Mus musculus: one gene and its partner. The protein of the gene in region 2 interacts with the protein of the main gene of each other region in a biochemical or structural test. Links are inferred from orthologs where the notes say so. Each region holds a gene or a part of one and is shown on either strand. Other genes may lie near its edges.

What was found.
Region 1: the proteins of Sema4d (region 2) and Cd72 form a complex in vitro, tested with the Homo sapiens proteins (2 studies listed by BioGRID and IntAct). The link is inferred for Mus musculus from reciprocal best matches to the Homo sapiens genes SEMA4D and CD72.

The regions. Positions count from the first base shown.
Region 1 is NC_000070.6:43,447,094-43,449,446, forward strand, and holds the end of Cd72 (B-cell differentiation antigen CD72), read right to left. Parts: intron 1,323-2,353; coding exon 1,172-1,322; 3' UTR 1,167-1,171; intron 983-1,166; exon of another isoform or gene 944-982; 3' UTR 631-943; downstream 1-630. Other genes in the region: Tesk1 (dual specificity testis-specific protein kinase 1), read left to right, coding at 1-404. UniProt on the Homo sapiens protein: Co-receptor of B cell receptor (BCR) that plays both positive and negative roles on B-cell functions. Recognizes the Sm/ribonucleoprotein (RNP) self-antigen ligand, and coligation of CD72 and BCR inhibits BCR signaling.
Region 2 is NC_000079.6:51,790,864-51,795,190, forward strand, and holds the start of Sema4d (semaphorin-4D isoform 1 precursor), read right to left. Parts: upstream 2,816-4,327; 5' UTR 2,634-2,815; intron 1-2,633. UniProt on the Homo sapiens protein: Cell surface receptor for PLXNB1 and PLXNB2 that plays an important role in cell-cell signaling. Regulates GABAergic synapse development. Promotes the development of inhibitory synapses in a PLXNB1-dependent manner.

The DNA of each region.
Region 1 (2,353 bases), on a different chromosome or scaffold from region 2:
ACAACTTCATCAGTACTTGTTCCTCAGCCTCGCAGCCCTGGTCTCCTAGATCAGGACCTCCCCTCAACAATAATCCCCCTGCTGTGGTGGTGAATTCCCCACAAGGGTGGGCTAGGGAGCCCTGGAACCGGGCACAGCATAGCCTTCCCCGGGCAGCAGCCCTGGAGCGGACAGAGCCCTCACCGCCCCCATCAGCTCCCCGGGAGCCGGAGGAGGGGCTGCCCTGCCCTGGCTGCTGCCTTGGCCCGTTCAGCTTTGGCTTTCTATCCATGTGCCCCCGCCCTACCCCAGCTGTTGCCCGCTACCGCAACTTGAACTGTGAGGCGGGCAGTCTTCTCTGCCACCGAGGGCATCATGCCAAGCCACCCACACCCAGCCTGCAGCTGCCTGGGGCACGCTCTTAGCAGTGAGGCCTGTGAGCTCAGGCTTCCAACCTTGGCCTTCGGGATACCCTGTAAGGACAGTGCACTTGCTGGACAATGCCAGCCCCAGATGGGCTGACTAGCTCTTCTCCCCGTATAGGGGAGCCTCAGCATGGTCTCAATGGACAGAGCACCTCCTAGCCGACCCCTGGGTTCACTGTCCCATTGGGATCACCGAACTAGACACAGCATTGCTGACACACAGGACTAACACGTGCAAAGTATTTAAAAATATTTCAATAAAACTGCCTGGCTGGCTCCGGGCCATCCATCCACTCAGCGGAGCGCCCTCCCCTGACCCATCTCTAGTTTGGGAAGTTCTTAAGGAAGGTCAAGTCTTTTCTGGAGGCTTCTTTACTCTTCCCAAGAGAAGTCCAGTTTCTGGAGCAGCTTTCAAGCAAGCAGCAGGTCATCCCTTAGCTGGGCATGCCCGAGAGTGAGGGAGTGCTGGAGGAATAGCAGTCTTAAAAATTGGCAGGCCGTAGGTTAAGGATGTAGGTCACAAGGTCTTGTTCAAGTGTCTGGAAAATAAAGCATCAGTGAGCTTCAGTTGACTGTCATTAGCTCTCCTCATCCTATGTTCCCCAGCTCCTCTTCTGTTCCAGGCCACATCTGTCCCCATGCCCTGCCCTGCCCTATGTAAGCAGACTGAGACGCTGAAGGTGATGGATGTGACAGATGAGGGGACAAATTTTCCCTCTTGTCCTCTGTCCACACACCCATGCCTAATCTCCTCTTGCTTACCCGTTTCAGTTCAGATTGATCCCATCAGGAAACCTGAAAGCCTCCGACTCACAAATGCAGGGGTGAAGCTCTGCACACTTGGAAATTGTTCTTTCCCACTTCTGGTAATATGTTTTTATCCTGACACAATGTCGGCTTTGAGAGTCAGAGTCCTGCCTGGTGAACAGAGTTGGGATACACTTTAGACCCCTGCAAGCCCCTCCCTTCCCTTGCTCTTTGCAAAACCTAGTCTAAATTCTAGCTCCTGCTAGGCCCACATGGTTCAGGAACAGGTTTCTGAACTAAAGCTCCCAGAGGCCTTAAGACCACAGAGGAAAACTGCACTTAAGGAGCTGGGTGCGATGGTGCACACATTTAATCCCAGGAGTCAGCACTCAGGAGTCATACATAGACCTCATACTCCATGGAACATGAGGCAGTCACCCTGTCTTGGGGTTCCTGGAGCAAAACTGCAGCAGCTCTGCTTTCCTGAGAGAGTTCTAGTGCCCCAGTTGGCGTAGACTGAGCAAGTTTGGGCAGCCTGTCAAGGCTTAGTGAGGTCAATGCCAGCACTCCTCTGGCTGAGAAGCCTTGCTGAAATCTCTTCTCTCCGCCTAATTTGTTTTTATTTTTAGAGATGTGGGAAGGGGTCTTTCTGTGTAGCCCACACTGGCCTTAACTCACAATCCTTCCTCAGCTCCAGAGTGCTAGGATTACAGGAATATGCCATCATAATTTTTTTTTGGGGGGGGAGGGTTCAAGACAGGGTTTCTCTGTGTAGCCCTGGCTGTCCTGGAACTCACTCTGTAGACCAGGCTGGCCTCGAGCTCAGAAAACTGCCTGCCTCTGCCTCCCAAGTGCTGGGATTAAAGGCGTGTGCCACCACTGTAATTTTTTTAAGTAAGCACTAAAGACCTCTAGGCACTGTGGATGTAATATGGGATAAGAATGCAGGTCAGTGAGATGGCAACGGCTAGCAGGTAGGACTACAGCCTGGGTGCAGTCCCTGAGACCCACACGGTAGAGAACTGACTCCCACAAGCTGTCCTCTGCCACATGGCACCCCTCTCCCAACACATTTTGCTTTTAATATCTTAAACAGTTGTTAATCAAGTAGAAGAAACAAGAAACCACAATACTGATTGGTGGAGGAGTTTTGGGAGCAGGGCTTATGGAAGTAATATGCATTTATGAGAGACTGAGTTGAC
Region 2 (4,327 bases):
TTGCCTGACCAGCCTAGCTCTGGGCCACACCCCAAGTCACCCAGGGACAGCCACGTCTTCAACTGAGATTGCAGAGATGGGTTGCTCATACTGCAGCTGCCAAGAGTGGGATGGCTCTTAGCCAAGAGAACCAAAAGGACCCTCCCCCTCAGCCTGGGTAAACCCCATGGGTACCTCTCACCAGTACCTTTCACCATCTAGTGGACCTTCTGGGACCGGCACCATTGGAGAGATGTAAACTGGGTAGTGGTGGCCCACACCTGTAATCCCAGCACTCAGGAGGCTGATACAGGAGGTCAGAGAGCAACCTGGGCTCCATCTGAAGGAGGGAGGGAGGGAAGAAGGGAGGAAGAAAGGGAGGGGATCTGCCCCCTGTTGGCTAATTCTAGCAGCAGGGTTTTTTTCCCCCCAAGACCACCTTGGCATGACCACCAAGCTCATGCTATGGCTCTCTGGGTGCCTAGGGAACAGAGAGCCTGAGGGAGATCTTTTCCAAACTCGAGGGAACAGTTTGCTTTAAACAACAACAATGAGGAAATTCCAAATCCTCTTCTGGTATAGTGAAGATGTTCTGGAGGGCTCAAACCCAGGGTCCCTGGCTCTAAGCTCACCCTAAACATAATCGAATCAAAGGAAACTGTCCCCCTCCTCAGCCTTCCTAGCCCTCCCAGGGCAGGCTCCCTCTAGAAACACCTCAAATGGCTAAAGAAAACCATTGATCTTTGAGATGCATTATTGATCATGCTGTCCATTAGCACCCATTCCCATAGCCCTGGCCCACCACACACCATGCCTGGGGTGGGAAAGGCCTCCTTGGACACTGTCCATAAAAGACAGCCTAGAGAAGCAACTGTCCACAAGTGGATGATGTCACCAGACACACTGCCCTGGCCCCAGACCCCCTGGATTCCTGAGGCAGCACGGTCCACACCAGGCACCTCATCCCTCAGTCCAGGGCAGGCAGCCACCTGCCAAGACTCCAACCACTGGGGAGGAGTCTCTGTAAGGCACACAATGACAGCCAGAAGTCATTGGAGTCTATAGACAGAGGGACTTCGCAGCTCCATTTCAAAGGACAGACTTAAACAAGCCCATCACAGGAAGGCAGCCTCTGACTCTTGCCCTGGCTCCAGGTCGCACATCCATCGTGCAAGAACGGCAATGCCACAACTGGTATAGGCAACGTGTGTCTGTTTCTTTGGTTTACTTGCTGTGTGGACCAGCCAGACCTAACTGAGTCTTATGGTCAGGAAAGACAAGCTTTGCCCACACCAACATCCCTGCTCACTATTCTATCCATTCCGCTTCTCAACAGATGATCGCTCTGACGTGATGCACACAGACAGCAACGGTCAAAATGACAATCAGGCCATTATAGTCGCTACCGGGATCTACCCCCACCTCTGCCCAAGACTGCCTGCTTCTGGGACACTGTAAACATTCCCAAATAACCCTGCCTGCCTGGGCAGACAAGAGACAAGTCAGACGCCAGGGGCACATATGAAGTGACAGACCGCTGGTGTCACTTCACCCTCCTGGGAAGGAAACTTCCGTTTGGTAGCGCCTGGTAGACCCACAGCTGGGTCAGATGGCTGGCTACAGGCCCCCAGTCCAGTGAGAGGTTGGGCCACCCACGGGCCTGGGCTGTGCTCCACACAGTGAGGGTTTTCAAAACAAAAGCAGGACAAGTTCATGTGGCAAATGACCCAGTATGTAGGGGCAGGCCTTCACCACATGCTTCATTGAAAGCCAAAACTCCACATTCACCCACAGAGAGACTAAACAGAAAACATATAGAGGGCAGCTACGTGCTCAGCGCTGTTTTGTTTTTTGGCTGATTTTTTTCCCCAAGCCATAACTGGCTGAGCCCCAACAGAACCAGCCCCCTGCAAATCATCGGGCGCCAGCAACAGGTGCAGCTCGAGCTAAAGCTGGTGGTGGTTCCGGGCGGTTCTAGAATAACGCAGCCCGAATCTTCCAGGAAGCCACCGCCTTGCAGTGCCCACTGCCCGGCGGTGGCAACCTCACCGCGGCCGCACCTGTCTGAGTGCACCGCGCCACATCCGGTGCACCCGAGCCAAGGCCTGGGAGACCGAAATAGAAGCTGGTTAGGCCGGGGCTGGGAGCCCGGCTACGGGCACCGGGCCTGACCTGGGAGGCACCGATCAAGGAGTCAGCACCCGGGGGTCCCAGCGTGCAGGGCCTGGCTGGTCAAGTCGCATCCGCTGCCTGTCCCGTGTCCCTGCTCCAGCCACCTGCCTGCCAGGGCCTGGCGGGAGCTAGGGAAGGGACGCCGGAGAGAGATCCGGGCTGGGGTGGAACTGCAGAGAGGGTCTGGAAAACGCGGTGGAAATGTAGAGGGGGGTGAGGAATCCGGATGGGACTCAGAGGGGACCCAAAGGATCCTGATGCGAACGCAGAGGGAGTCCGGGGGCATCCAGGTGGGAATGCAGACTAGGTCCTAGCGGTGTGGGAGAACCTGGGGAAGAAGCTCGGAGAGGGATCCTGGGAGCCCCGAGGGGGTCGCAGGAGAGGCTCCAACAGGGTTCCTAGGTTTACCGCGGGGGCTCGCCGCGCTCCGCGCACCTGCCCAACCCCGCGCGCGCTCCTCCCGCGCCGGCCCAGTCGCTTACCTGGAGCGCGCGTCCGACCCGCGGAGGCTCTCGGCGGGGGCTGGCCAGGCCAGCTCCGCGCCAAGAATGGCGGCGGCGTTGGTGGCAGCGACGACAGAGGCGAACGGCGCCAGGAGCTTGAGTCGGGGAGGCCGGGAGACGCGCGGAGATGCTGCGGCGCGAGAGGGAGCGGAGGCCGGCGTGGGGAAGGAGGGCGCGGGGCTAGCGTGCAGGCCCCACCCCCTCTCCCTCCCTTCCCGCCTCCTCCCCTCCCCCTCCCGTCTCTTCCCTCCCTTCGCCCCTCCCCCTTCCTCCTAGTCCCTCCTCTCACCCCAACCTCTCTCCCTTCTTCCTTGCCCTCCCGCGCCCCGCCCCTGTCTTCACCTACCCCAGTCTTTTTCTCCTGCTCCCCTCTTGTTTCCTTTCTCCCTCCCTTCCTTTCCTTCCCCATTTACCTTCCACCACCTCTTCCTCTTTTCATCCAACTCCCTCGTCCTCTTCCCCCGTGTCCCCCCCCCCCCGTCCCCCATCCCCCAAAGCCCCATGGTCCAGACCCCAGGGGCTCTTTCCTACCCAAGTCTGGTCTCTTGAAAACAGAGGAGATTACCAGCAAAAGGAGCCTTTTGATCCTTTCAGCCTCCTAATGATCCAGCCTGCTCGTCCAGGTCCCCAAAGTCTCCTGTGCCCCATGCTCTGGGGTCACCAGCGTTGACCCCAGAGATGCTGGGCTCTTACCTTTATGATCTAGGATAGACCCTTTGGGGTTCTCAATGCAAGGTGTGGGTGGTTCTTCCCATGGACCAAGGCTTCCTGTATGCAGCTCCCGATGAGATACATTTCTAACTAATTCTGGGCCTTCCGAAGTTGGTTGGTACAAAGGGTAGACATAGCCAGGTCCTTAACATGCTTTCTGAGGTTGGTGCTCCAGAACCTATGATTAAAAAAAAACCCAGACAGTGGTGCTTTGTTGTAATCCCAGTGTTGAGGCAGAGACTATTGGTGGAACCCTGGATGGAGTTCACTGGCCAGCCAGCCTGCCTTACTTAATCCGAAGTCAGACTCAGATTTCAGTAAGGGACCCTGTCTCCTAAAACTAAGTGGACAACACCTGGGTTGACCTCATGGCATATTGCATGGGTACACACACACAGACACACACACACACTGCAGCCACAGGGCATGTCCTTTTCTGCCCTTGAAGGGAGAAGTGACCCTCAGTTCACACAGTAACTGGCCAGGTGGGAAGTGCTGCCCAGAGACACAGTCCCTCCCTAAAAGGAAACCCAGTTCCTTAATGAACCTGCCGGAAGAACCAAGAAATAGATCAAGACCAGTCTCTAGGCAGACTGGTGGCTTCCTGAATTCCAGAAGGCCCTTAGGGGCTTCCAGCAGGGATGAGGCTGTTGGGAAGGCAGGCAGCTGACAGCAGTTAAACTGAGCAAGCCCTTCCTAAAGGATAGAAGGTCCTAGAAAGAACCAGGAAGCTTCTTCAGGTTAGGTGTGCCAGTCAGTGCTGGCTCAGAGAGCACAATAGGCCTACTAGAGGTCAAAACAGTAGAACCAACCAGAGGAGGGTCGGTTGTCTTTGCTCTAGGGCTGTGTTTCTCAACCTGTGGGTCAAGAACCCTTTGAGGGTGGGAATTCGAAGGTCTTGTTCACAGGGGTCACCTAAGACCATTGGAGAACACAGATATTTACATTATAATTCATAACAG